Lepisosteus oculatus: one gene and its partner. The protein of the gene in region 1 interacts with the protein of each later gene in a biochemical or structural test. Links are inferred from orthologs where the notes say so. Each region holds a gene or a part of one and is shown in the gene's direction. Other genes may lie near its edges.

Evidence for each region.
Region 2: the proteins of ptch1 (region 1) and shha are reported together in a solved structure, tested with the Homo sapiens proteins (5 studies listed by BioGRID and IntAct, with this or other methods). The link is inferred for Lepisosteus oculatus from reciprocal best matches to the Homo sapiens genes PTCH1 and SHH.

The regions. Positions count from the first base shown.
Region 1 is NC_090698.1:57,281,754-57,297,975, forward strand, and holds the start of ptch1 (protein patched homolog 1), read left to right. Parts: upstream 1-9,840; 5' UTR 9,841-10,237; coding exon 10,238-10,408; intron 10,409-11,651; coding exon 11,652-11,844; intron 11,845-16,222.
Region 2 is NC_090701.1:11,936,837-11,952,646, reverse strand, and holds the start of shha (sonic hedgehog protein), read left to right. Parts: upstream 1-9,059; 5' UTR 9,060-9,366; coding exon 9,367-9,675; intron 9,676-14,404; coding exon 14,405-14,666; intron 14,667-15,810.

The DNA.
Region 1 (16,222 bases):
GGTATTATTGTTCACTTACCTTTGAACTGATCTTGTATTTTCTGTCATTTGGCAAATTATAGACATATTCTAAAGCATTGTACAATTTTCACAACTTACCTTAAAGTAGAAGTAAAGTAAGTGGAAGTAGATTGCACATGGAATATAAGACTCATCTCAACAAACGGCACTGGATACATGGGAGATAAAAAGCACACAAAATGTCCTAAAAAGCACAAAAAGAATTTGCTCTCCCTGGTGTCTTTCATTGATAGTTGGGAGATTTGCAAGATTCAAAATTCTAAGCCAGCAGTGTAGGTTTAAGAGGAAAACTGGATTTGTACTGAGGTCTTATTTTCAACATAATTTTACGAAACTGTTTTGTGGTTGTAACTTGTTTTAATGATCATATTTTTATTTGATAAGTTCATTATTTATACCCTATTCTGTTGAATATTATACAGTGGACTAGATGCCTTTTAAAAGTATGCAGTGAGCACGTGAAGAAAAACAGATTTACAGTAAAATAAAAGCTTTTTTTAGCAGTAAACTGGAATATTGTCCAACTGGGCATTGACGTCCAAGTTCGTAAATGAATGCTTGTCTTATTTTCCTTCAACAGCTACAATAAAATGTGTTTAGTATTGTATACTTAATTTAAGAGAAGAGCATTAATTTTAAAAGAGTATCACTTCAATGATTTATGGGCTGACTCCCAACATGAGGCTGCTAACGTAATCCTCGGAGACTTGTGGTTTTTGTGCCGAGACCTGAAACCTTGTACATAGTTTAGTTAATGCTGCATTTCAGAGCTGCAGACCATGTACCGATAGATCATTACATACTTTTGCCTTGTAAATCACAAAGTACCAAAGGTCAGTGGTTTCGTTCTTCAAAACTGGTTTTATAAGCCAGGCATCTGTGTATAATAAGCAGTTTATCTAAGACTATTAAACTTTTCTGATACCATAGCCCCATATAGAAAGAGGTTGTATGTTATAAACTGGTCATTTCGGATCCGCTCTCGTCCGTTTTGTTAACCTGCATGCTGATTCTTATTCACAATGAATTTCTGATTCGAGTCAAGCATGTTGAGTGAAATATGCTGGAGCTTTCTTTTTTAATGGCTGCCATTGATAACGGAGAAGATTAGAAAGGTGAGGAGCGGCACAGGGGTTAGAACTACTGCCTCACAGCGCTGGGGCCCTGGGTTCATTTCCTGGGGTGCCATCTGTGTGGATTTTGTATGTTCCCCCCGTTTTCATGTGGTGTTCCAGTTTGTGTCCACAGCCCAGAGATGTGAATTTAGGCTTATTGGCTTCTTGGGACATTGGCCCTGGTGTGAGTGTGAGTGTGTTTGTGTCCCCCCTGTGGCGGACTGGCATCCTGTCCACAGTATATCCCTCCTTGTGCCAGTTGCTTGCTGGGACAGGCCCTGGCTCCTCCCCATGATCCTATACCAGATAAAGAGGTTTAGAAAATGAATGGACGGACTAAAAGGTGAGGAAAGAATGCTAATGAAACATCAAAAAAACAGATTAAGGAATAGGTGAAGAGGATACACTCACCGTAGCTCTCTGTTCATGACACTATCAATCTTTTACACAATGATCAAATATAGCAGATTTAATCGGGTTTTAAAACTGAAAGCTATTCATGCTATTGTAAACATTTGGGTCACATTTCTTGGTATTTCTATAGCGTGCAGTCACAAGACAGTCAGAAACGTAGATGATGTTCACTGTCACAGTTCAGATGTGTGTGGCTTTCTGTTTGCCTGACATATATTAATCTAATTGTTGTGTGAATTGAGATTACAGACTGATTTAAGGCGTAAAACTGAATTTTGCACACGTGTTATCAGTGGGAAAAAAATGAAGCGGAGTTGATAAGCAGAATGACATCTGCCCATGTGATGACAGTTTTCCATTCACTGGGTCTTAGTTTTACAGTGAAGTGTGTGAAAACACTCACTCATATTTGTTTAAGCTGTGTTGGACACCACAGCAGTGGTTCAATGTTTTTAATTATTTGTGTTTTGTCCCCTGGAAAGCCTTGTTAAAAGTACAAAATGTTTTAGGCTGATTTTTTGCTGATATTTTTTTTCTCTTCAACACGCACAGTTTACAAAAATACAGCTCATTATTCCACTCTCGCCTCAAACTGTTTTGTTTGGACAGACTGGTCTTGTTCACTAACATATTCAAAAAAGTGCTAAACTTTAACATCAACAGATTATTATTCAAATATATTGCAAAAACTTCCTTATGTCCAAACAATGTTTCATTTAAGAGGCTGTTTGAAGCTTCTTCAGAACTATTGCTATAGATTTGAAGGTTAGTTTTCATGTGCTTTGTGGCAAATTGATATGAGTAAAAGTAAGAAAAAAGGGCCAGAAATCTATGTATACATTTCAGAGAGAAGGCCCAGAGCTTCTATATTCATTTGTATTTAATTAGGCAGCACAGATGCTTATAATATAATGGCTACTTTTAATAGCATATTCAAACAACCTTTACATTCTTTTCAAGTTACACGTAAAGAAAATTTCAAAAGTCACCTGTGGTGCTTTGATACCAGTATATTTTCTCATGTATTTTCAAATATAAGTGCCCAGTGAGAAGCCCTCAGTAAAAGTTAATGTTTTTTAAAACATATCACCTGCCAACAGTAAACCTGGTGTTGTCACTTTGTTTCCATTATTCATCTGTAGGAAGTGCTCTAGTGGGAGGGAACAGAAGTCAAGATGATTTTGGAAATCACTCCAAAAGACGTCTAGAAGATGTTACCAGGACACACCTGCACCCAAATAACCAGGAAATTCTATATGGGAAATATATTGTCTTTGAATAAATATACGTTTTCCAGTATAAGGGTTTCTGTAACTCTATTAATGATCTAAACAATATCTCCTTCCTTTTGGCAAAAATGTTTTACTACTTTAAGATGTTTCTATGTTCACTGCAAACATGTTCAAACAGAATCCTGAAAGGATAAAAAAGATGTGTAATGATGAACAAAACTGTACCCATACTTTATTTTTGGAAAACAACGGTGCTTAATGGTGCTTTTAAGCATGTGCTCTAAAATATAAGGATATCATTTTATTAAAATGTGAATCCAAGATAAATTTATACAATACCATGACTAATGTAGGACAAATATTGTTATAAATATTCCTTTACAAACAGCATTAAACTCAGATATTTACAAAGCACTGTTCCTGAAATGCTCTCATAATGCTATTTTATACAGGTGAAAGCTGTAATGAAGCTCAAGCACAGAACACCGTGGCATCTCAATACATTCTCTTGCACAAACTGTTCTCTGTGCAAACAGGGTTCTAACGCATTTTAAATTAGTTTTATTCACTTACCTGAATTTCTTGGCTCTCGAAATACAATTTTGAACGTTTTCAATATTTTGCCAAACGCCAATAACAGGTATGAGGCTCCCTTATAAAAATGAAATACAAAATTAAAACAAATCCGCCGGCATGTTTTAAAACCATTTACGTTTTCATTTTACATTAATATTTTCGTTGAAGAATAACCATGTGAAACACCATGTAACCAATATTAAGGTTAACAACCACAAGAAGCAAATGTCACATAAAACCATTTAATGTCGATCTACTTAAAATCTAGTTTGCACGTTTCCTATGCTTTCGGTCAAAAAACGACTCCTAAAAACATCAATGAAATAAATGCACAAGAGACACTGGAACAGGTTCACTCTGATCGTCTCCTGACACAGTGTTCTCTGCCATCAGATTCACCCTGTGAAATAACGCTTAAAGTGGATCTGTAAAAACAAGCCGCAGTAGGATCTGCTGATTTTGCCCACCAAAGAAAGCACAAGGCGATTTTTAGCTTCAGGAATTTCTGAGCTTTTGAGTGAGGAAAGCATGTTTACACAGATAAAGCACTGGGTTTCGTTTACTTTGCCTTCTCTTTTTCTTTGGCCGGGGGGGTGTTTAAAGTTTAGGGCAATCACGTGACACTGACAGGTCCTGCCTATTGAGACTCAGACCACCCACATGGAGACGATGGAGCTGCTTAATAGAAACAGGCATGTAATTGTGAGTCCTTCCAGCACTCAGCAGAATGCCTGCAACCAAGAAGGATTATTACTCGCCAAGTTGCATTTTTTCTTAAAAAACAGGAATCTTTTCATCAGCTGCATACGTGACAGCTCTAAACGACTGGGGGAGAGACAAAATATTTCACATTTCCAGAAGATTTCCCAAGCTAGTGGATGATGGTAAGTAGGACAGTTTAATTAATTTCGAGTGTCTTACCCAGGAGCGATATCTTGGCAAAAGGCACCGCGTCTGTTGTGATACTGATATTCTTAATTCAGTAACTGGCTGCTGTAACTAATACGGGATTATTATGAATGAGGTGATACACTGGATGATGATGGGGCTTGCCGTTGGCGTACAGCTAAGAACTGCTTGTGTAGCGATTTTTTATCAGTGCTCAGTCTCCAGACAGACTTCATCCCTGGGTCATCCCTGTTTCGACCATCTCCTTCAAGGAAAAGTAAATTTAGTTTCAATTCGAAGACGTACGTAATAAAATATATGAACCAGTAAATGTCCCATTTTTCAATTTGTATGTCTTGTAAAATCACATTATCACTCTTACTACTTCCTTGCGCCTTTCATTAAATTATTCAGTATGCTTTTAACAGGACATGTTGAGGTAAATGAAATGTTTTTAATTGAGTATATTAACGGAAATTAAATGAAAAGGATAAAAAAACACAGTTTTCATCTTCTGAAATTATTTATGGCCATAAAAGACTAATGACAGGAAAGTCGTCAAATTGCGTCCTTACTTGTGGTCTATATTTATAGACTGAAACTAGTTTTTTGTTACCTATTTACTGTAAAACATAATTTGGGATTTACACATCTTCCTTTTCAGTACCTTGTTAATCTGAATTTACCAAAGACTGTTCTATGGTTTTTCCAGCATCACAGTATTAACATGTATTTAGTAGTTTATAAGTGACTGCTTTTTAATTTACGTCTTACCTTTACTACTGTCACTACATCTGGAAATCAAGCGTGTGTTGCTTGTTCTGCACACAGTAATCTGGAAACCTTTCACGTTAAGATATAGCATACATATATTGCACTAATCACTTAAGAAGATTAGCATGGTTGTCATGTTCAGCCATTCTTTCCTTTTATGTTTATATTTCGTCTGATGGTGAGTATGCCATTGTACGCAATATTAGAGCAATGCAAATTATAATAACAGTGATATTAGTGACCAAGAATCGATAGGCACGGTGAATGTAATTAAAATGTGCATTTTGTAAAGTGAGCACTTTTGGGACAAAATAAAAAGCGGTTTTTTTTGTTTTACAGTGAGGCGGATCGCTCTATAATAAATCAAATATTCCATGCACATTAAAATGCACCCGTTGTCAAATTATAGTCGCTACGCGTTACTGTCCTCTTTATGGCGACGCGGCTCGCTGAAGCTCTGGGAGAAGCATGTGTCACTTGAGAGTTCTCCTTTTTAACCCGATCAGATTCGTTGCGTTATTATGTCAAGCTGGCTTGAGTAGTGCCTTTCCGCCACTCTCGGTGTGTGGTGTGGGCTTCCTCTACCGCCACTGCATGCGCAGAACAGGGCGTTCATGAAAACCCGTGGCGCGTCGAAGGAGAGTGCGAGGCTGGACAAGGGGGTATTATTGGAGACCGATAGGAAATAACACCACCGACAACTGAGGGGGATAACTGTCGCATCCAGGCGAAGGCAAAACCCGCGCTCCCAGTCGCATAACAATCACTTCATGCAGTGAAGACGCGTGGAAAGTTGTGGGAAATTAATCCCGACTATCAGTTCTGTCTAGAACTTGTAGATGCATGTGCGCAAAAAACGAAAATACACACACTTAAAAACCATGCGATGCGCGGACCGCTACGACTATCAGTATCAGCTACTGTAATGAGCAACACCGGTACTACCACGCCCTCCTCCGTTTAGATCACGATCGTTTTTTTTTCTCCAGGTTATTTCGTGTCTTCGGCATTACCAGACAGTGTGTAAATGGGCGGGGTTCCATTCGGCCAATTATTTATCTTTGAAACTCCTTTGTCCCTTTCTTTGAAAGTCCGTCTTTTTGTGGTTGCAAAGCGATTGTGATCTGATCCAATGGATGGTCGCAGCCGTTGCGAGAGCTGGTCTGCGAAGGAGTACACACTTGTATGTATTCAGACTATTCGGAAGGTGCTTCTGCACCCCTGTCCCTGTAGTCATCATTTGAAAGGAGGCTGTTTTACCTCATAGTGCTACCCCTGTAGCCGTTTACCGGTTATGAATCTCAAGAATGAAAAACTGTCCCTTTCCAACATCCCCTCCATCAAGTCAGTTTCCGGGTATAAACAAAGGTTTTCGAAATGGAACTTTTCCTGTAGGTTATGAATGCATTTTCTACCGTTTCAGTAGATATGGTTAGAGCTGATGTGGAACTAGGCAGGATGTGTCAGCTTTAGTCCTTCAATCGTTGTCTCTGTTTCTTGTCTTTCTATGCTTGTCATTTTCAGACGTGGTATTTTTTCCAATCTCAATTGCCTAACAATGGGATGGCAAATCCCAAATATTAATGCGGTTCTGTTCTCCGTACAGAATCTTCATTCTTGCTACCGAAGGGAATATTGTAGATTCAATGGGACACCTTGTTGTAGTATCAATGGGAAAAATGTCATTGAAGCGTACTCACATTAATATTTTACTTTTTAGAAAGTCACCCTGCATTAAACAAAAGCTTTCATCGTATACTCTGCTGTTATGGCGATATTGTACTAATACTATTTCTGCATATTATTTGGCTGACATATCTGTTCAAAGCAATTTACATTTGCACCTCTTCATACAATACATCTACGTATTTTGCTGAACCAATCTGCATGAATTAGCTTCTACCTCAAGGGTAGAGCTATAATGCCAATGATTCGAACCTACATCCTTTCGGTTTGAGTCCAGAACCTCTAATGCTCCTTAACAAATATCATAGTGGAGTATTTTGGTGATTTGTTTTATTCATTGCAGTATTGTGCTATCGGTATTGACAACACGTGCATATTAAAGAGTAAAAGGCTCACCAATGTAAATGCGGGAAGAGTGGTCAGAAACAACTCTATCACAAGGGAGTGAATCACTCGTATCGGTCAATCTAATCAGGAGTGGAGTAAACTAAGGGCAGCTATGACTCATCTACTGCTACGGCTGGCCACCCAAGTCGAGGCAGAAACTTTCAACTGACACCGCTTGCATTTCTCTCTTCTCAAAGATTACGGCAAGAAGACCAATTAGATCCCTTATGTAATTCATCCTTGTGTACCCAAAATCAGACCACAGGGACTGCTGGTGAGGTAAAAGGACGAAGCTTACGTCTGAAGCATCATTCAGCATTTGCTGAGGGAAATAAAAACGAAGACGGACACGATTTCCAGCAGTTATAGGTTTGGCTTGAATATAGGCAAGTGATAAACAGGATAGTTCCCAGTTGCCTTATTCACAGTATTAGACTATGAAAAAATAGAAAACCTAAACAAAACCCAGGTTGTTTTTCCCTCTCATTCCCCCCCTCCATAAGATCACCTTGCGTCATATCATTGTCAACTGCTGTCCTACAATCTTTGAAGCTATTTGGTTGCGCCGAAGTGATAATCGTGTAGCTTGTTACTTTAATACACGGTTACAGTTTTAGGCTCGCCATCGCTAAAGCAGTCCCGTTATCTTTATTTACAACACGTTATGTACAAAGTAAGGCTTCACCTGTCACATCTTATTGAAAAACCCTCTTGCGTGTTTTACAGCTCACTGAGCAATGCGTTTTTCAACAATGTATTCACCTCTTGTGCTGCCCGAACAGCCTTTTAAAGTCTATCTTGTCAGATGCCGTAAACAATTTCGGTCACTCGGATTCTGAGGCTAGCTGCAACCATAAAGAGTTGTATGAGAAATAAAACCTTCAGTGCATGCTTGAGATCGATTGCACTAACATAGGCTACTGAGCACTGTAAATGTCAATACACAGGTTACTGGTTAGTGTCACTGATTCTTTTTGTTTTCCAACTACAACTGCACATACATTTTACTTCCTAGGTGGCGCTCGATTAACACTTATTACAGGGGGTGTCTTGCCTTAGTACACTAGATTTACCGAGATCCGCGCGAAGCCCGGGAAGTACAATAGCTCAGTGTAAGATTTCTTCTTCTTCTTCTTATTATTATTATGTAGATTCACCAGCTGTATCAAACTGGTGCTTGAAGAGGGAAGAAAGTCCCCCCAAAAAAGAAAAATCAGTTTGAATAAAACTGATGGATTGAAGTGTAGGTGTTACGTAATACTGTACCAACGTGATCTTATAACGATTGGAAAAAAAGAAGAAAACAGTGAAGAGGCTTAATGTTTATGTTTTTAATTGGGATTGTCATGGCACTAATGCTCATGAGAATGCCATTAGGCAACGAATGCTATATGAATTGATCGTTTTATGAAAACTTTATCGTTCAAAAAGACAGGAATATGTATTAACCTGTTGTTAATTCGATTGGGCAACATATCAACTAGTCAGTAAGTAAAATATTTCACCACGCGTTCCTTTCCCTAGAAATTGCTTTGTGACACAATTAATAATAAGAGGGCATGCCTGTTTGGAAGTTACCATTGGCCCTTGACTTGACAGCGGTGACTGGTATTGGACAGCGCAAGGGGTAGACCCGACCGTGCAACGCGCTGCACTTCTTCAGGCACAGCGCAGTGTCGGTGATGCATATTTCGAAAGTCTTCTGCCGAGCTAAGCTTTCAGAATTAAAGAAACGTGTTGATTGCTCTTGGGGGAGTTGTCCTTCGGTGTGTGAACTCACGTGACTAAAAACCCATCCTTTACGGACACACGTTTCATTGACATTTTATGCAGATACATATGTGTACGGAACTTCACACCTGACACCAAAATTTTAAATGTTCCGAGAAACTCTTAGCCGAAAGAAAGTGGAAAATATTATTGCATTCTGTTGTTTTATGTACATGCTCATTATTTTTTCATCCGGCATATTTTCTCATTTTTTTGCCCTCATACTGTATATACAGTAGGCGCTTCCTTTTTATGTTTTATGTTGTTTGGATATACCATGGTTAGATCTGTTTCATGTTCCGCGTCTGTCAGACATATTTATTCTTTGCGTGATAGTGTTAAAAAACAGAGCAGCAGACAAGTCTTGATTTTTTTTTATTTCGATCGCCGGTTCAGCTGTGAACAAAAAAAAAAAACAATTTGGTTGGTGAGGTGAAGAAACACACGGGCGCGTTCTCCGGCGTTATCCACCATGCTGTCATTATCGCTGTTAGAGCTTGAGAATTCAACTGGACCTCCCAGGACTCGCTAAAAAAAATCATGAGGCCAGGGAACACATCGGTAGAATGTTCTTTTAAAGAGTTTCGAAAACCAAACATAAACTGCAGTTGAGAAACTCTGAAGCATTTTTATGAATCGGGCGGAGATTCAAATTCCAGTTGAAGAAAAATACTTTGCAAGGAAAACAGAAAACGCAGAAAGAAGGAAAACTGCCGACTCCAGCGGCGTTGCACGCAGAGCTGGAGAAGGCTGGAGTTCTTTAAGGCTCCCCTGAAGTTTGAGATGCACACACAAGGGTTGCCTGCTTGGGTGGTCTCTCTACTTTGGTGAGCTGTTGCTAAGCAGCTAATAATAGTCGTGTTTGCTGAGTAATTTTTGCCCTTCTGGAACCAATCAGATCCAAGAAACCCCAGCCATCTGACAGCCCTGGAGGCGGGATTTTGATTCCTTTTTGCCTTACCCCTCCTCCTCTGTCTCCAAATGGAGAGAGTCCTTTTTTCTGAGCTATTGAATCCCGGAGCTCGCACGGTCCCGCGGCCTGAGAAAGAGCATAGCGCGCAGAATGCTACAACAACGGAGCGGTCGGAGTCGCTGTTTTGGACAAGGAGAGCTTCTTTTCACGTTCGTCTTTTAAAAACACATATCTGGAGAGGACAGAAAACAGTGGATGTGGGAAATTGTGGAGACCTCCGGATCACGAAATGTTGGAATGGAAGGCGCAGACTTTGACTCGCCGTCCTAAACAGGAGTATGAAGTACTTTGCGAGCCCGAGATTAGCGGTAGTGAAACTTTGTTACCCTGGATTATCAAAACACGCGTTCGGAGGAATTTAAGACCGTGGATCGCAAAAACTACAGCCCAGTCTCTACAACATGGCCTCGGCTGTTAATGTTTCAGAGCAGGAAAACAGAGACCCTGATCGGCCGAGGATAACCCGGAGGAATAGAGGGAACTATCGCGCAGCAGCTACAGCAACTGATTTGGAGTATTTGCAACGGCCGAGTTACTGTGATGCAGCTTTTGCATTGGAGCAAATATCAAAGGTGCTTTCCTTTTAAATGTCTTAAACGGGGAAATGGGTATTCCGTACCATGTGAGTTTTCCTAGTTTTGTCAAGTCGCTAGGTAACGGTATACATACAGGGGCGAGGGGGACAGTGTATTTGCAACGAAACCGTTCTTTACATCATGTTGTACACAGGCTGGTCAGAATTCATAGTGAAACATGTATTTCCGATCAGCCAGTGTACACCGATTTGTCTTTCGATTAACAATAATGTCATGCCAGTTATTTGAAACCATGGTAAGAAAACAGGCAGATGCATTTGTGCGTAAAACTGTAGTGATGTACTTACTCTAGTAAACAATGTTTTGACTACTCTGGCTCTCCGGAGTTCAGCACCTTGATCATTTCAATGGGACAGTTAATACAATATAGCTGTTCGAGTCGCTAACTGAATTAGCCTTTTTGGCGATTCTTTTAAAGTCGCCTTTAGAACAGTTCAGTGCATAAGCGATAGTATCTTTATGGGGAGTAGTTTTTATCCCTCTGCTAAAGCAAAAATCCATGTGGCTGCCCTCTTCCGTTCGCAAATATTGTCGTAACTCGGAGATGGCTGCTCCACTTCCTAATTCAGATCACACAGCGTCTCTGAACTCTATGGAAATGAATTAGCCTCCAGCTTATGGTCTAACAGCAATGGAAACCACGTGGATCTAAGTTTTTTTTTAATATTGCTTGTTACAATGTAGGGCACCGCTACTGTAACCTGTCACTGATAAGGTAGCTGTTTTGCAGCCCACGGACTATCGTGCGCAATTGGCAGCATAATATTATCACGCTGCAAGCAGTTTACCGTTTTCTTTTTCCTTCCACGTAGGAGGTCTTTGATCTCTTTTAGGAAGAATAACGAAAAACTAGCGTCCTGTATATCCCACCCGTACAATGGGTATATGAATCAATGGTGTTCTAAAAAGCAAATTCAAATGTAGGTTATTAAAGTTTTAGCTTTTGTTAACTAAAAGGTAACGGTATATACCTGTCTTGAACCGTAGCAGAGAAACAAGTGACACAAGAAATCGCTGACACGACGTCTATCATTTCCTCCGCATCTTGCAGCAGCAAAGTTTTCAAAATAGAAAATGTGATCTTTTTAATGTCGTATTCCGATAAAAAATTGACGTGTTACAGGTAGTCACTTACATAACCGAGCATTCATTACAGATATTTACAGTGGATAAACACATTCCTAACAAGTAACTTTTGGACTTTCTTGTTTCGTCGCAGGGGAAGGCTACTGGAAGAAAGGCACCACTGTGGCTGAGAGCAAAGTTCCAGAGACTCTTGTTTAAACTGGGGTGTTACATACAAAAGAACTGCGGAAAGTTTTTAGTTGTTGGCCTCTTAATATTTGGAGCTTTTGCTGTGGGATTAAGGGCAGCTAATCTAGAAACCAACGTGGAGAAACTGTGGGTTGAAGGTAAGAACCCCTTCTTAAATTTTAGTTATTGCTAAAAATATTCTTGCGCTTTTTAGTTTTAAGAGTAATACAAGGGTGGGGAGAGGTGTATGCCAAATAAACTGGAGGGATTGTTTATTGTGCAGCAGTTTGGCAAAGAGCCAGGTAAAAACTTGAAAAGAATTTGCTGTGATTTGTGTGTTACAGTTTTGTAAAAGGGAAAGTGTGAAATGAAGGGAGTTGATAAGGGTTCTAGAGGAATGGCATTTCTCAAGTTGTTTTTTTTCTTATTTAACGTGGAAGAGGAAAAAAAGACGTACGTATAGTGTGCATATATATATATAAAATTCTGTAAAAAGCCGCCATTTTGTGTGTGTGTGTGCCCCAGCAGTAGAATCTGATCTGTGCAGCCCGGAGAGTCTGTGTGTGGTCCTGTTTTGGACAGCTTTCAACTTTGAAAAAAACATTTGTCTCTGGGTAAAAGCGGAAAAAAGTAAAGTACAGAATGAAACGCATACTTGCAAAGTAGATGAATATGTTTTGGCAAATAGAGATTAAAAGTAATTCATTTTTCGATTAGGTTCGTAGAATAAATTGTGGAAAAGGTAGACTTCGGGAATGGGGGAAGTTCAATTAAAGTTTTTCCCCTTCTTTGATCTACATTCCAGTAGTTGAAAACAAAGGGTATAGAAATTCTGAATAGATAATTAAAGGAAGGGTAAAACGGCTTAAAGGAGCTTCGCAAATGTTTCATTAATTGCTGTAGTTAAAATAGTTAAATTTTCTTATCCGTCTTAACCCATTTCCATTTTTAAATTTCTGTTAATTAGTAAACTTGAGATTAACCTGTAAAAAATTCTCTTTCGCCATTTTAATTGCGTTGCAAAGAACGGTTGATACAATTAATTTGCAGAGAATGTGGAGAATTCTTCAGATGGCTATAGGATAGTGCCTTAAGGGTACGTTTTCATGAAATGAACATTTTGTTCCAAATAATACATCTCCCTCCTCACATTTATGATATTTATTATGAACTTTTAATTTTCAGTAAACTCTACCTCAAATAACTTCAGCAACCATCATTTTAAATAGCCTCTCCTTATTTTCCTCATCCTAATGACCAAACCACTAAACCAAACCACGTCTTAATAGGTCACCAATTAATGCTGAACACATAGAGGTGGGAATGACAATGTGTCAAATGACACCTACCTCTTTTCTTTCTGCAGAGGTCCAATTAGCTATAGGTTAACCAGCTCACCTGAAATTGGATAGTTCTTGAAATGCAGAGATTGGAATAGGGTTGATGCCAATTACAGAGCATTTTAGATGACAAAAAACCTCTGAAGAGCTGGAAGCAAATTTTTAAAATATGCCCCAGATAGAAAAAAGAGGTCGGGTAGACTGTGATTAAGAATTCATGTGGATCAGAAACTGGAACAGATCTTGCTGCCCCAGAACCATTGCTGTAGGTCTCTTCTGTTCTCCATTTGCGTGGCTTGAAAATGTGTTATGTTCCTGTCAGAGTGTTTGAAGCTCTGATCTTCAATATGGGCACTACACAAATAGATTAATTTGTGATTGAGGGGCACTGACAGTGTAATGCTATTTAGAACTATGAATAGCATTTCTATTTTCCATTTTATTTTTACCATTGTGCAGTGTTTTGTTAGGCTGTTGCAGACTGTTTGAGAAATACCACAGACGTTACTACAGAACCCATTTCTTCATTGAAGTTGTTGAATGAAGTAAGCTTGTGCTGTATTGCATTCGTGCCAGGAGATGTCCTGGAATCAGTCACTGATCTACACTGAACAGGTCTTTTGTGTTTCTGTGAAGCAGAACTGAATAGGAGGCAGTTCAGTAATAAGGAGAAATATTTTAAGGAAATATGGATCTAGTTTTAAACCAATTCATTTTTTTGTGTGTACAATTAAGTTGAATATAGTTAAGTATAATTTATTACCTCACACTTAACCCCCTTACCCTCCACAAATCGATGTACTAAAAACTGTCTCCACTTCCAATCTTTTAAGGCATGGGCAATAAACAAAGGCTGTGTCTCCTTTGATCAACAGTTTTGTTCAGTCTTAGTTTTAAAGCTTTTCTGAAGCCCTTGTTCTCTACTCTTCAGTCTATTGGGTCTTTATAAATCTGTTGATTTGAAAGTATTTGAATACAGTCTCTCTGGCAAAGTGCTGAATTCCTATTAGCAAGCCTGTCAGGTAGAGTGGAGCTCAGGTCTGAATATGGCCTTCTTTTTAATGTTGCACAGAATTCTATATCCAGCTACAGATAATCTTTAATAAAGATTTCTCGGCTAAAACGTTTCTGAATTCTTTGCCGCTACATTTATTTTTACTTTGCATACCTTATGTGGGGTTTTTGTTTGCTTCTTAATTCTGAAGTCTACTGCAAGCCTTTGTGTGGGTCAAAATGTTTAATCTGCAGTTTTGCAAGTTTGAAAATATGACAACTTCCAGATGCATGAAGCGTCAGATCTGTTTGTTTAGATTATTCACCACAGTTGATGTATAGATTAGTGCTGGCTGGACAAAGCTGTGGGAGATTTGTTGGGTTTCTGTGATGCCATGTTTATATTTAATTCGCATTTGTCCTTCAAAGCTGACCTCTCTATGACCTACAAATGCTTTGTCCACTGAATTGTTCATTTCCACTTGGCTTCCAATGGTACCAGATTCGTAATGTTTTATTGTCTACATTTCAGTGTGATTTGTTAAAGACTTGCCTTTTGGGGCAATCTGAGAAATGACAGAAAGTGCATGCCTGGTTGATGTTCATAATCATTAAGAAAAAATTTAACACTTTCACAAGTAACACAAGCACCTTCGCCACTGATTCTAAGAGAAAGAGAACAGAATTTAAAGCAGAGGAATTTTAGTTCATTCTTAATCACGGGAGATGGATACTTTTTTACTCAGATCGCTGCGTTGTGATAGGATCGTCATTTTACACAGGAAAGAGAGGGGGCGCTACAAACATAAGCCCTACCTTGTCTGGTAGTGGGAGACCTTAGGAATGACTTTTTCTGTTCTTTCCTCTGAGGGGAAGGGGGAGGTTTACTGATCCAACAAGCAAAGAAAGTGATTTTTATTCATCCTTTTGCATGCGCTGTAGCAGTCCACCACCATTAGAGAGAGAATCATATCTGAACCAATGTTCTCTCAAGGCTAAGAACATAAGAGAGGTTTGGAGAAGGAGAAAGAGGCCATTCTGTCTGATCTGTCTTGTTGGTTTGCTGGTAATTAGTTGATCCAAGGGTCTCATCCAACCATTTCTTGAACAACATGGAATCCTCCAACAACAAGGCTGGGTAGTATAGTCTAGACTCCCACAGCCCTCTCTGTAGTTACAGACACTGACACAGACATTCCCAGTTTGATGTTAAAAAGGTTTTTTTGGCAGAATCATACAACAGTTCCACTGCCATACATTCTCATTCACCAGCACATTGTTATTAACAAAATGTTTTCATCCTTCAAGTGGAGTAAAAGTGAGGTATTGTTACCACTGTGCTTTAGAGCATGACAAGTAGACATGTAAAAAAAATACAGTGGTCCAGATATGCTAAAAAATTAAAATTTTGCCTATTAGAAATACAAACCTTCTCCTCTGTGGCTTAAGAAAATGGCCAGAGCATGAGGGACTGCTTATTTAAGGATGCCAGAGCTTGTTGATCCTGAAAACACCGCTCAGTTTGACCCATACTGTAGGAACAAGTGAAAAATGTAATTTAGGGTATCGGAACCAAATGGATAGTGACACACAACCAGCAGTGTGACATGAGTTTCCAATCCTCTCAGAATGGATAGTGACACACAACCAGCAGTGTGACATGAGTTTCCAATCCTCTCAGACTCCGCAGAGGAAAAAAAAAAAGATGTGATTCTAGGAAACTTTCCTCTTGTTTACTTGTCTTAAATGTGTGTGCTGTAAATCGGATTGAGGGGCTGTGGTATTCTAGGGCAAACCCTCTGGGGGATAAACCTCTGTAAGACTTTTTCCTGATTTCCTGTATCTGAGGGGGTATTCCGACTTATTCTCTGTGTCGTAAAAACCGTCACGAAGGTAGATAAAAAAAACCTTTTGTAATGTGCGATGACATATCTGAAGGACTTGCATTGAACCTTTATTTAGTGTTTCTTAACTTACAGTAATAGTTGAAGGAGGCGCATGTTTTGACAGAATGTATATTTAATCCTTAAAGTATTGTCCCCGGGACAGGTTGTGAGTCTGAGACCTTTACATGTTAAATAAGTAATTAAACTTGCTGTGGGTAGCCAGTCGCAACAATATGCACATGTAACAAATTGTATATGCACTTTAATCTGTACAGTACAAACTTTTAGATGGTTTTCACCTGTAGTAAAACAACACG
Region 2 (15,810 bases), on another chromosome or scaffold:
TATTAGCACACAACCAACAAATGAATGATAAAATACGTTGCAATCAAATCAATCTCTGAAGATAGATTTTCAGTTATATACAGTACATCGAATGGGTTAAACTAAAAAACGAGGCACAAAAAGTGCCTAAAAAATAAGTTGAGTTAGGAAAACATACACCCAGGCACAACTTACAAATAATCATTCAGCAAGTGAAAAGCAGTGTTAGGCTCTTCGCTGGTGTTACTGATATATGGACAGGAATGAGTACAACAGAGTGAGGCAGATGACAAATCATGTACAAATAACCTCACTGGGCAGAATGTGGACATATAAATGAAAACTGATTCATGGCAATAGAATACAATGCAAAGCAGTTTGCTGACCCATGTGCATTAGTTGAATACACTTTCTTTTACTACTAAATACTTCACTTCTGTGCTGGAATCACTAAGATTATAAGTTAACATATATATTCTCAATTCGTCCACCCAAAAAATCTTCAGGTGTATCGGCAGTTTCTGAAGTTTCTAAACATCTGCATATCTTAAATTAGCATTAGATTAAACCTAATGCTAATAATAACAATCAATTTAAGCCCAATTCTAATCATAACCTTAAAACAGTGTTGGTTTAGACATACTATACAGTATATACAGATTTATGATTCTACAGAGGGTTTGAGTGCTTGGATAGGCTACACATCCTTTTCAAATACTGAGCTGTTTCTGTGTTTATCTAATTTTGCTATCAACAGCAACAACAGATTACAGAGATTCTACAGGGTTTTTGCTAGCTTGGTTTTGCATTAAATCATAATAAAAGCCATTCACCAGGTGAACACCTAATGGAAAATACTCAAAAACAAGCGTTCTTTGCAAGGTTAAAGATTTGTATGTAATCATAAGACATTGGCCCTTGTCAATTTTGGACACTTTTGCTGTTGGTCTAAATCGTGTCTAAATTAGCCTGCTCTGTCTGCGGCTCAAGTCTGCATTGTCCTGTAACTGGCCAACATGAGGTCCAAATGCTTTTGACGAAAGGAGTTTGTTTTCTTATTGCAGCAGGTTTTTTTTTTCAATGGTAGAAAAACAGCAGTCCTTTTCAAACCCTATCAAAGGATGCCTTTACCTTACATGAAGGCACAAGGCGCGAGTGCCACGAAACAGTATTTTTTTTAAGATTCAGACATCGTCCTTTCCCAAGGAACTTACAGCCCAACAGTCTTTCTCACAGGTACTGAATCCTCTGCTTCATATGCCCGCAGCTTCAAGAGATTCCTAGCATGCTTTCAATGTACAAGCAATGGACTTCAATGAACGTCAGGAACTGTGGATGATGATATGCTTTTAAACACTAATAGCCCCGTGACTACGTGTGTGGAAATTGGCTGGGGGTTGTCACAGGTTAATATCCATCACTTCATGTGACACTGTGTGAGGAGAGGACAGCTACCACACTGTACAGATGAGGCAGATGGGAAGGGCAGGGGTGGAGGTGAAAGCAGGAGCTGGTTTGACAGTTCAAGCTGTGAAGGGAGATTCTGGAAAAGAAAATGGAATTTTAATTCATGACAAATCACAGTGCTACCACTCGCCAGAAAGCAAACAAAATGCAGCACAAACATGCTATGATGTAGAACTGGCAGTATTTCACCAGGAAGGTATTTCACCCTCAAATAATTCGAGATAGCAAGGAAAAGTTTAGAAAATGCTATCTTCCTATTGACATTGTTTTTAGGACTTGTGACATTATTTATTTCTGCACAAATTGTGAATATTCGTATAAAATCAAATTCAATCTCTTTTTACGACCTTAGAGCCTATAGAAAACATGATGACTTTCAAAGACATTTTAAAAGCTTTGTGCTCAGGGTCTTCTGGTGTTTTTTGTCCACAAAGATGATTAGGGCATGACATGTCAGAGGAAAGCTTAAGGAGCAGTGCTAGAGGTTCACATTTACATGATTACTTCACAAACCACGTAGCAGCAGTAGTAAAAGTAAAACTATAAGTATATATGTATGTATATGTTATTTTTGAATACAGTCAGAAAACATAACAAAAGACCACCAAGACTGGCAAAAACAAAGAACCTTTATTTTGGTGCACAGAAGCTGGTGCTGCCAACAGCTGGTGACAGATGATTTATTTTCTTAAAGTGGATCAGATATTAAAAGCAATAAAGTATTACCATCACTGCATGAAACCCATTCCATGCTTAGTCCAGAACACTTGTGCACTGAAACCATGGTCTTACCTTTATTACTGGAGTGAGTCTACAGAATGGGAGCCTGCAAGTCTGGCCAAAGCAGATCCTACCACTTTAATGATAAAGGAGAACAGAGACTCAGGGTCAGATTAAATCATAGTTATCACACTGTCACAGCCAGTATAAAGTAGGGTTATTCTTGCGTAATTAGGTTTTTGCTCTTATAGGAGGCCTAGGTCAGGACAACCACATTTTCTTTGGTCTCAACATGGTCTCATTATCGCCCCCTCATGGTACTTATCTGTGCTGGAAGAGGAGTGATGAAGCAGCCACAGTCAGCTGTAGGCTGGTCCTCTAAAAAGAGAGAATGTAGTCAGAGATAATAAAGAGCAAAGACCAGGCTGTGGGAGAGAGCACTTTTTCACAACACATTTGTTTCGGAGGAGTCATTTTTCCATTTTTCTTATTTTACGACCCCGTCACTTCGCATCAGTATTTAATTTCTGTACCCCAAAGTCAACTTGCTCATTAGTGGGTGTGTACTCTGAACTTTCCAGAAATTTTAACTAATAAGAGTAAGGGTGCTCACAATTGATAAATTTTGTTTTACACAACTGCAATAATAATAATAATAATAATGCAACTCTTCTCTGTCTCTCCAAGAACCAGCTGTTTCCTATTTCCTCCATCTATTAAACATAATAATTGTCAAATTCTAGTGTGTAAATGGTATGGGAATATTAAATATTACTAGTAGTGGTCTCTGAAAAATGTACAGTTCATGAGAACATGCATTTACTTAATTAAATTATCATTCGTGCACAACATGTGGTACTATTCACATTTTACAGCAATCCTAATGTATTCAGACTCTCAAATAACGAAATAGTCCTGTAGTGTCTATTCCTTGATCAGACATGCACAGAAGTGAAATGGAATAGGTATAGCTCAGGGCACTACTGCTTCACTACTGAAATTAAATGCAAATAATTTTGTCTTTCCTCAAATTAGTTAAGAGATGGAGAGCAGAACTTAAAGATGAGAAAATAAAGTGGACACATATTAGCCACTTAGCATGAGCAGCACATATTAGCACTTTTAAGGTTATGCATCAACCTACCTCTGCTCATGGGCTGCAAATCAAATTTGTGATGTTGATTCTACAGATAATCTTCAGACATAACAGTGTACGTTGTCATTGTCAACAAACATCATACTTAACATGATAACACTAAAAAATGTGACCTTTGGATGTCTGCTATATAAACACAGAGAACAACATGCAATGTTATTTAAATGTTATTGTAATATGTTCTTTGGAATTTGATAATATAGCATATTCTTTAGTGTGTAAAAATATTGTAGAAGAGCATTTTCCCTTTAAAGTACACTATATGGAGTTTTTGTTATTAAAAACAGGTTTATTTAAATTTTATATACATTATTAAAACCATACTGCAGAGACAGATCATATAAAAGGATATCTGAAGTATTCTGGGCATAAATCTACAAACAATGGCTGTTTAATGAGCAGATAGGGTCACAAGTGACCAAACACTAAGTATCCACTGAATTTTCAAACAAATTCAGAGCATCACAGTTTTAATTATTAAGTCCAATATGATTCTGCAAACAACTACATAATTACTTAGAGGGGAAAACATTATAATTCATAAGGATAAAAAAGAAGAAATAGCATTATATGAAGGCGAAACAAACATCTGTTACTCCTAAAAGGCTACAAAAACAGTACCAATAGGTACACATCCATCAATTTTCTAACCAATTTATCCAATTCAGGGTCACAGGGCAGCCAAAGTCTATCCTGGCAAACAACAGGTGTAAGGCAAATACACCCTGGAAGAGATTCCAGTCCATCACAGGACACACTTGGACATAAATAATAATAATAATAATTACACTTATATAGTGCTTTTCTGGACACTCCACTCAAAGCGCTTTACAGGTAATGGGGACTCACCTCCACCACCACCAATGTGCAGCCCCACCTGGATGATGCGACAGCAGCCATAATGCGCCAGAACCCTCACCACACACCAGCTATCAGTGGGGAGGAGAGCAGAGTAATGAAGCCAGTTCACAGGTGGGTTTTATTAGGATGCCATGATTGGTAAGGGCCAATGAGAAAACCCTGAACACCCTGGGATTTTTAATGACCACGGGGAGTCAGCACCTCAGTTTTACGTCTCATCTGAAGGACGGCGCCTGTTTACAGTATAGTGTCCCCGTCACTATACTGGGGCATTAGGACCCACATGGATTGCAGGGTGAGCGCCCCCTGCTGGCCCCACTAACACCTCTTCCATGCACACACTCACACCATGGGTAGTTTTCCCAGAAGCCAATGAACCTACCAGTATGTGTTTTAGGAAACCGGAGCACCTGGAGGATATCCACAGGGACACAGGGAGAACGTACAAACTCATCACAGATAGCACCCCAGGTCTGGAATTGAACACAGGGCCCCAGCTCTGCAAGGCAGCAATGCTAACTACTGAGCCACCATGATGTCTGTAAGTACACTTTCACAGTGAAAATCAGGAACAAACAGAGATGTCAAAGGCCCAGAAAAACATTTCTAAAAGCAAGTATGATAATTATCTACTAAAACCCAACAGATACCTAATGATTTTGGGTAATCGTAAGCTTTTCTGCAATACCACTTAGTATAGAAGTGTACAAGTAACAGAGCAGGCAGTTCTGTTCTTAAAACTACACAAATGTACACACACAGTATAACACATTTTACATAGGAAAGTCTGATACGTTGATTTGTCATTCAAAAATACAATTATTTCCACAGTAGCTACCAAAGGCCATACTGAAACAAAAAAGCTGCATTTTGTGTCTAGCATGTCGGTGGTTCTCCTTAGGGTGCAGGCCTGTTTGATATCTTCTGGAAACTGGAAATTTCCTTGTGACAAAAGAAACAAACTCAGCAAGCTAACAATACATAATAAAGACTACAATGATATCTTATGGATGCAGACATCACATTTCAGCAACACATTGATAGAACACACACAAACACAATTTGTATACAAAATAAAATACTGAAGACATTATGAAGGCCATCACCTTAATTGAGAGATTTAAACTTAAATATTAGAATTAATTAAAAAAGTGAGTGAATTATTCCGTTATTACTTGTTTTGTACAATAGATTTTTTTTAAATAGGTAATCTTGTGTTTTATTTTTGCATTTTACTTTTTTTTTCAAATAGGAATGTGATTGTTATTGATTTGCAGTAGGTCTGAGCTCAAATCATTTTGTCTTTGACTGTAAATTTGTCTGACGGTTTCTTTGAAAATGACCTAAACTTTTATGATCCTGATTGCTCTCTCATTCACAGGCTGTGTTGCTAACCTTTTCTCCGACTAACCATAAAATACTATCGTTAAAGCCAACAAAGGTATCAGGTTGAAGATAAGATAGCATTCAAAGGGTGCTAAAAATATTGGAAAACAAAAAAGGAAATGATTATTAGTCAAAAAAATTTTACAGCCATATAATAATTCTGAGGTTCCAGAAGGGTTCCTTTGACAATTGCGGTTTGATTAAAAGCTAAAAAAAAATTCAAGTCTGTAGTCAGAAGCAGTAGAGAAAGTAAACGAAACACAACCTGAGTATTAATCAGTCAAAAAAAAACAGGAAAAAGGCAACTACCATGTTTAAAAATACTCCGCAAATGTATGAAAACAAGAGAAAGTAAGACAATTGTGCACATACCTAGCCTGCTGCTATGGGTTAGTGAATACGGTGGTTACCATGGATAAATCTGACTATGAAGTGTACTTTGGAAGCAGGCTTTGTGTCTGATCTTTCCCCAAACAGAAAGCTGTGATCCAGGCAGTAGGTTTGTGTACACTGGGCAAGCCAGTTCCAGTATTCAGCTTCCTAGGAGCCATCTCTTCGCATAAGTACATGACTTAACTGACGTTCATCCTATAGCTACTGTGTTGGACGCCGGCAGTCGCATTTCAATTTGGTCCTTACAAATTTTAACTTGTTAAGAGTTGCTTCTGATAAGGTGGTTTGGGATGCATACGTATAGTATGTTGCTTCTATCACTTTATGGATGTTAGGTGTTAAGATTGCAATGTTGTCTGTTTTGTGTTTCCAACAGGCAAACTAGTCCCTGCAAATAACCATGAATGTAGAAGGCTCAAAAACTGTAAAAAAACTACAGAAGCCAAAAATGTTGACCATTGGCTCCTTCAAAGGTTTCTGTAAGAATTGTCAGAGGAGTTAAAAGTTTAATAAAGAAGTATAATATAGAGAATTAGCCTTAAAAAAAGAGAGGAGGAGGCAGTGGAACCAGTACAGTCGCACAAAAAGTATTGGCACCTTCCATCGCCTGCAATCTTATTAATGTTTGTTTCAGTGCATTTGCTTGTCAAAGTACTATTATATCTCCTCTTAGATCACTGAGCTTTCATTCATCCTAGCAAGCTGTAATTAAAGGCTTTTTGACCGAGTTAAATTATTGAAGATATGGAGACTGAATTTTTAATTCTCTAACTCCACAGAAGTCTATGGAATGGTAGAAAAAGAGACCAGACTGGGCTTATATAACATCTAAAGTCACCTCTAAAATACTTAGAAATGGCATTTTTTTCCATGAGGGAGAAAAGAAGCAAGATTGAGATTTTTTTTTTTGTGTCTTTACATCTTCATAGCTCCTGGACTTTGTTGTGTGCTCTGATTTAAATGTTCACAGTCATTTTGCTAGGATGGCACTACAGAGAGGACGGACACAATGTAGCACATTGTAAATAGTATATCTCTATTCATGTAACATTAGCCTGTCAGTATACTGTACATTGAGGGCACAGAGTGGATTTTGATCATTTCCATGGATTGTAGCCTACATTCAAAAAAGCAATCAGGGATATTCTTTAAGCACTATTTTATATAGGTTTCATTTATTTGAGTGAATATTTAAATAAAATTAGCATTAACAGGAAGCTTGCCAATGCAAATAAGAAATTAAAGACAGCAAAAGAAGGCTTTACTTTTTAGTATAGGGTACACATCAGGAAATTAGTCATTATGTGGAGTCTAATGTTAGAACTGATTAGAAGCCACCAAGTCTCTCAATATTACAGATTTCCCATGATCTTACCTCAGCACAACCTTCATTGGAAATTTAAATGATGGATAATTATAAGTAAATCAAGGCATTTGTTCACATGTGTTGGTGGCTCCATGGCAACCAGTACGGGGTCTTAGTTAAATACTGGTGGAGAACTTCTGAAGACCGCTGTAATAATGGGTTTTATAGGTACCGTCTCCAACATAAGAAATTGATATTCGTTTACACAGTTTTGTGATATAAATGTATGAAATCAATTATATTTAAACGAGATAAAATGTTTCCAACTTTTTAAAAATTTATTGGCAGACAGAGCAAAGTTTCCCACTTAACGGATTTTTACATTCAAAATCGTCTACTATGTATGTTATTCAAATATAATTTGCGATGATGTTTTTTTTTCTTCAGATTTATCCGTGGAAGTCATTAGGAGCTTATGGTTCAAAAGTTTGTGTCGGTACGGAAAGAATATTTTCTATTTTGCCTTTCTCGTTTTTTATCCTAAACTCCCTGTAACAGAGTATTTTTTCTTACACTAAAAAAGTTTGTTTCGCAATTTAAGGAGTTAACGGGTCCCATTTTAACCATTACCGAAAACGTGTTAAAATAGGTTATCTTGGGATAGTTGGTGATTTAAAGTACAAAGAAAAGTTGAAAAATGAAGAGCATTACTCCTCATTAGCTAAACAGCTGCTGTATCCTGTTCAGTAGCGATGTCATTTTGTTAGAAATCGTTTATGGCTGTCTTGTTTTCTGTCATCTAGCAAGTCTTAAAGTTTTACACGATTTTTTAGGAGTCCTACAAATTTAATTGCTTCATTGCCTTTATACCCTGACCACTGTAGCAATAAGCAAATGAAATGATTACTGGCTATGAAACACCTTAAAACCATTAGTCTTGCGTTCTGTTGCCTGCCATAGTCTGTAAGCGTTTGGCTAAACAGTACAATAGTATTTTTTTTAATTAATTAGTTTTTGCTCTCTCCTTCACACAGTCTTAAAATTCAAATCCATAACGGTGTGCATCCCACCCTTCTAAAAATTCAAAACACTACTTAACTTCTATGTCAAGCTAATAACTGGCATCTCTCACGATTCCATGTAAATGTTCCGTTTAAAGCTTTTATCTCCGTCCGTTAGATGGTCTCCGATGATTATTATTATATTAGAGCTCCTTATCGGATTAGGTAACAATAAAGTGTAGTGATACTAACTCGTGGTACTAATTCTTAGGTGTAATGCAGATCAATAGAGAACATCGTACAATCCCTGACACAAAGTCAGGATGATTAGCTAGTAAGTGCACTGTCAACTGTCAACAATTAATTAAACTTTATATGCATACTTTTACTCACAATACCCATTTTATATATAAAATATTTCCGCTTTCCCACCCTCTTCTTGTTCTTAATAGCTATGTATTTGTATTGTACATGTACTTTAGAGCACATGAGGAATCCGGATAACAAAATGTGCCATGCTTGGTTATCGGTTTTTACATATCAGTGAAGATAATCTTATTATTTCTCTGACTGACAAATGTATATTTACGCTAAAGCAAGCTTTGAGAAAGAAAAAAAAACTTGTAATTGATGTTTTCCCTTAGACGCCAACCCCTCCCCTCAAACCCACCCTTCAGGTGAAAAAAAAAATCTTTAAAGATTTTTTGTCTTTTGTGGGATAACATCAGAAAGGGTTCGTCTGCTTGAGCCAATCAGCTCCTTCCCGCATGCTATCGCATGCTATAATACATAGCACTAAAGGCAGACTCTTCTCACAAGCGTCTGTAGCCTGCCTACCATTAAATTCAAACCCTGTTTTAGTCTCTTTTTTTTTCCTGCAACGGCCCAACTCCGATGTATTCCGTTATCAACGACCAGAAGGCTGACATTTCCGCACCTGCCTCAGTAGGGATCGGTGGATAGTATCACAACGAGAAAAAGAAACAAGGGCATAGGAACACAGTGAACGAAAGAGAGCGAGAGGGAGAGAGAGACATAGAGGTTGATCTGGACACGACCAGAGATAGATACACAGAAGCTTCAAGTAATTAGAATCGATGGACGAAATGCTGCTGTTGACAAGAATCGTGCTGGTGGGCTTGACCTGCCTTGCTTTCGTATCCTCTGGGTTGGCTTGTGGACCAGGCAGGGGCTATGGAAGAAGAAGACACCCGAAGAAATTGACACCTTTAGCTTATAAGCAGTTTATTCCCAATGTTGCAGAGAAGACCCTGGGGGCCAGTGGCAGATATGAAGGGAAGATCACAAGGAACTCTGAGAGATTTAAGGAGCTGACTCCCAATTACAATCCTGACATTATCTTTAAGGATGAAGAAAACACTGGCGCTGACAGGCTTATGACACAGGTAGAGTGAACATCTTTTTACTCCTATGCATGATCAATATCAGTACATTGGGGATTAGTATTGTGGCAACATATTTTGAGCAACAAGCTGATAAAGTTTAAAGTCTCCGTGCTGTTTTTAATTTTCAATTTGCTTTGCCTGGGGTGTTGTTTTATGAGTCCTGGTTGTGTGAATTTTGTTTGCTGAAGTCCCCAAGGCTCCAGTCAGATCAATTAAAGTGGATACTGTAAGGAAAGGGACACCCAAGTGAATGCAGACAGCCGGGACAGTCAGACGTTACTATGAACTGCAGTTTACTTGTGCTATCGATCTAAGTTCATGCTCCATTTTATTGTGTGCCAATTCACCCGTTTTTAGAGGACATCCTGTACTTAATCACACAATCTGTAAGTCGGAATACATTTAAAAATAAGAAGAAATAAATCTTCCAGCCCCTTGCAGAAGTCTCGAGGTTACAGTAGCCAGCTGCACGCATTAAAATATAACATTTCGCAGTGTTGCTCATTGGGGCATGAAAATATTGACATTTCTTTAAGCATGTTCTGTACACCATTACTACTTCATTGCTGGGCGGGACTTTGTCAATTAGTCGCGCTACTAGCATAGAACTCAAGACTTCTTTAAATTATTATCTTTGTGACCGGCTTTTGCAAGACGATAAAGGGGGAAGCGGCATAATAAGCATCCGTTTTGAACCTCGGCTACGGTGTCTTTTATTTGCTGTTTGGGGAACAAATCTGTGATCTCTGCTTTTGAATAGACTTCATCTGCATGACCTGCTTGCATAGCTGAGTTCAGATTAAATATGGGTCAGAAATGATCATTGCAGATACTGTGTTTCGTAGACTCATTGGGTGAAACCCTTGCTATTAATAAGACCCGGTTATTTTTACATGCTTCCTCGGACTATGGCTATTATATTTTTAAAAAGAGATGCTCAGGGAATTTATTCGAGTCCAGCCTCCTTAAATATCGCAGGATCCGGAGTGGAGTGATGAGGCGCGCGCCTGCTTTACTGAACCGTAGAAGCACGAGCCCCAATTAAATATTCACCCTGTACTGTAGGAGTGCGTGCAGCCAGGAAAGAATACGTTTCTACTACGCACCTCCTTCATTCTACATCTTCGTAACATTGTAATTCAAAATACCGTCTTGCTAGAGACATAACCTTCCATTCTAGCATTAAAGGAGTCGGCTCAGTCCCACATAGCCCTCGGTCATTGAGACTCTAAGCTGCAAGGCAGTGATCTGCACCAAGTCAGACACATCTTGCATTTTCAGCTCCACTTACTCCTCTTTTATCGATCGGAGCGGCTAGGATTTCAGTTTGTATTTTTATATAACCAATGGCAACCATAAAGCGCCAGCTCCCCGGTGCCTGCGTTTTATAATCTGTCTATAATCTAGCCTTTAGACTCGGTCGCAAAAATAAAGACAGGAGCAGAAAATGTACAGTATGGTGGGGGTTTTTTTGGTGGTGGTAATTCTATTTTGCGAAAGGCCGGGCATCCGCGTTCCCTTTATTTTAGCACGAAGACACATTTCAATTGCCCTGCTTTTAAGAAACGCTACTGTACAAGACAAGCACTTCCTTGGGAATAAGGCAGTCTTTTCTTCTCGGCTTGTCGCTCTGGCTGCATTCGCTGGGAGCATTTGAACTTATGACCTTCTGTCAATTTCTTTCAATTGTATGTCACAAAAACAAATTCGTATTAGTTCTATATGTTGTAGGATAACAGTTTTTAGAACAGTTTGAGTTCAGAATGCTTTGTTTCTTAAACCACTGACATCAGTACCACTGTGGCTGAATAGACTACATCTTCAAATGCCGTCACGTCGAACTCCAGTACAGTATAGCTCTTTAAAGACCGCAAGGTTACTTCATGAACTGATGTATATATGCAAAGGGTTTGAGGGGATTCTAAATAATTTATTTTTGAAATGCACCAGGAAAGACCTTTCTGAGGAATTGCGGACTATCTTTAATTAGGTTAGCCAAATTAAGTTGGCGCAGTTACGAGCGCTTCCAGTGAGTGCTCCAATGTTAGAGTCTGGACACACAGGTGCATGTTTAAATAATTAAGGGATCAAAAGCTACCTTTTTCGTAAAGGGGGAAAAAAAGGATAAGGTATATTTTTGTATAAACGGGTACCCCGCGGGACCTTTTAAAGAAGATGAAGCTTAGTTCTGGTGTGGTTTCCTAAAATGTAAATCATATACCAGTTAAAGTTATTATGGCAATAAACGCGAAGTTGCTCGAGGGCGTGCACATAACAATTTGGATGAGCTTCGTGTTAATCAGGCAACCTTTCAACTACAAAGACACATCTCGTAAGCTTCTGTGAAACTAGCGAGATCACCTCAAAGAAGAAGAAAAAACTTCTTGTGTAACCCAGATGTGTGGATTTAAAAAAAAACAAACAGCGCTAAACTGAATCTAGACTAACATAACTGATGAGCATATTAAAACCGTGCTTGAATTTAAAGAGTTCATCGGGTTGTTTACACTGACAGGTACCTGATAAGTGTTTCCTTTAAGCAATTCATTTGTGAAGAGATTAGGGACTGGCAGCGAGGGCTTGTTGAACAACTTTGTCTAAGCACAAAGCGTAAGCACGGCGAGTCCTGCTGGGTTTCACGGTGACTGAACAGAATTTGGCTTGATTTGCGACACACGACCCAATGAATTAATAAATAGTTTGGGCTTCACGGCTTTTGACTCTGACAATCCTGCTCAGAATAGGAAGGGAGAGCTTTTGGCATGGCCCTTTTTACCCCTTCTGAGCGCTACAAGTGCTTAGGATGATCTGTATATGCATTTATTTGATCTTAATGTTTCATAATCTCTGCAGCAGGTTGATTTTAGATAAGTACTGACGCTTGAGGTTCTGTGATCAATAGGACTTCTGCGTTGTTTCTAGTCACAGAAATACTGTCTGATGTAGAAGGTGTGTGGAAAACACTTGAATGCTCATATAAAAGATTAAAAGCTCCGTTTTGCTTGGTTTTTTTTGGGGGGGGCTTGTCAAAAACGAAACATATGTTGTGCATTTTATGAAGATCGACCTGCGACGCAACTGGTACTCTTAATTTAGCGTGTTAACTGAAACATTTAGTTTTCTGTTTAAACCGCTTGTATTCCTCTTCTATATCGCAATAAATATGATTTTGTATTAAAGCACTTGAGGCGTTCTGATAAGATAAATTATTGCTTTTATTAATTGACATATTGTGAGAATAGTTGTTTATGATCTCCAGACATTGATGTCTTGTTAAGCAATCTCGTCACGTCTCTAAAAAGTAGTACTGCAAGAGTAATGAAAGTGTCTTTCACCCTCCGGGCGCTGTGAAAAGAGTCTTTTGTGATGTTTTACTTGACATATTGGTAAAGTGTTGGGAAGAGTTGTCCTGGAGAAGGCCAAGCATCTCTGTTCTGGGTCTCGGGAAAGATTAGTAAGCGTAGTATCCTAATTATTCGCCAACTATTTTGTGTGTATAATTATTCTTAAACGCCGTCAGTGATACTCAAGCACCAAAAATGAATGAATGTGAAAAAAGTCCGTAAAACGATCGTAATTAAACGATCGCATCTGGTAACTGCATAGTCTTCTAAATCATAGGACTGCTTCTTCTTTCAGTGCATTCATTCAACATCAGTTCTTGTCTAGACAGCCAGACAGATAGATCCAGAGAACAGTGTTCATTCAAAATGATGGATCTATATGTTTCAAGCAAGTGAAGCAGATGAAAAATTATAAAGTATTAATTGCCCTCTTCCTTATCCTGGTATTCATTTTTGAAAATCAAATGTTTCAGACAGCACCCTCTCCTGTCTCTTTTACTAGTCTCTATTCTGTCCAATTCTAATGAATGAGATGATGAGGGACTTGCACCATAAACTGGGCATCACAAAACAGGACTGTAAAGCAAAATAAGGTCTATGGACATGTCCTGGAAGATGGACTGTTCAGAAAAGGACATACAATTTTCATTTTTTTTATCTATAGCTAATGCCAAGAAGAATCTTTGGGGCCTCAGCAGGTTCATTGCAAATATCTGCAAAGTTAAGCACTTTACTGAGTGATTTGTAAAACTAAAGCTTCTAAGAGCAAATAAATCCATTTGTGAGGGGAAAGAAGAAAAAAAACAAAAGTCTCCCCTCCACGTGACGTACTTTAAATCCCCAGAGTTAAAAGTGTTGCTTTCAAACTCGAAGCTTGACAGATGCCTTTGTTGCCTTTTGATGCATTACTGTCCCCTCGTTTTCCTTGAGAACTTTGATTTCTCAAGACAATTCGCTAAAAGCTATACACCATTTGACTACTTTTGCCTGAAAAGTGATTTTCGTTCAGTTTGGTTGCTCCAAAATTCGCCTTTCTTCCAAAGCTTAGTTGGCCTATTTGTGACTTCTACAAAATGGACACTTTCCCTAATTTCCTGAAACTAGGTGTTGGTGATGTTTTTATTTCTCGAGATAACACTTTTACTGGAATCAAGAAATACAGCTCATTAATCGCATTCAAATAGGCAATACTAATCTATATCTGGAATAAAGTGATTTCTCATTATGTCTGCCACATTCAAATGAGACTCTAGAAGAATAATTGCACACGGGTCCAAACACTATACTCTATTTTGCGGCAAAACGGTTCTAAAAGTCACAAACTCATTGGTTTTTTTTTTTATTAATTGATGCCACTGAGTACATCTCTCTCTTTTTCTTATCAGAGATGTAAGGACAAGCTGAATTCCCTGGCTATTTCAGTGATGAACCAGTGGCCAGGAGTTAAACTGCGCGTGACAGAAGGCTGGGATGAAGATGGACACCATTTTGAAGAATCGTTACACTACGAGGGAAGGGCAGTGGACATCACTACTTCTGACCGGGACAAAAGCAAATATGGTACTCTGTCCAGGCTAGCTGTGGAGGCAGGATTTGATTGGGTGTATTATGAGTCTAAAGCCCACATCCACTGCTCCGTCAAAGCAGGTGAGAACACTTATACAAGCTCTTTAAAATCATACATGGATGGAATAAACTTGTGGTTCCTACTGACAGCTCTCAAATTGAATCCCATTAGCTGTATGCCACCAACACAATACAAACTATGACCAGATAGGAGGGCTGAAGCTGCTCTTAGTTTTCTCCAAGCCTTGATGATTCTGATTCTTTATACTCCTCTTTTTGTCATATGTCAAAGGAGAGAGAGTTGATTTTACAAATAAAATGTATTCTGAGGACAAAAGTTATACTCAGTATTAAAAACTGCTTTGCAGAATACAGTGTGACTCTGTAACGAATACTGCTGTCCGTCCAATGCAAGGAAAAAGCTCTGTGGTTCTTATTGTTGTTACTGTTGCGATATGTTGGACTATGTTCTCCCCTATGAAAAGCCTGTAACCATTTGAATCTGGTCAGTCCTCATAAAAGGCTAATACCAACATGTTTCAGACTGGCTTGAGGCATCTTTAATGGCATTACATTGATGGAATTCACATAAAACCAGGATTGGTGTAAACTTTAAAGTGAATATATATTCTTATCCAGCTATGTTAAATCAAAATGAAATGTAGAGTAATGAAAATACAACTAGGCTGAAGGACTATAAATAGGTTCCATTCAAATAGAATTAGATTAATACTTATGTAATTGTGTGGGAGGCATATTTTGCCACAAACTCTTTTAATTAACGCTATTGCTACTGATATTTTATCAGGTTTTTAAGAAAAGTAAACTTAATGTTCGAATCTCGCTTCAGTGGCCGATATTCTGATTTCATAACGTTATGTGTTGAGGGAAACACAATCTCTAGTTAACTCGCCCCTTCTTAGTCACCAACAAGTTACAGAGGAATCGTGTTAGAGCCCACGATTAAGTTGTTGAAATCTGCACAAAATTATCCGCGATCTTACATCGCCCCATACTGTTTTCATAATGAAATCACTCAGCCTGTCATTCCGTATTTAAACAGGGAAGGCTTTAACGTCACCTTTTAAATATTTATGGCACACTGGGTTATAAAAGTGTGCTGTGGCCAGTTTAATATTTCAGAAATCTTTGCGATGTTCTCGGTAAAAGGCTAGTAGATAGTGGAATGGGTATGGATTTTAAGTAGAGTACACACATTTTACAA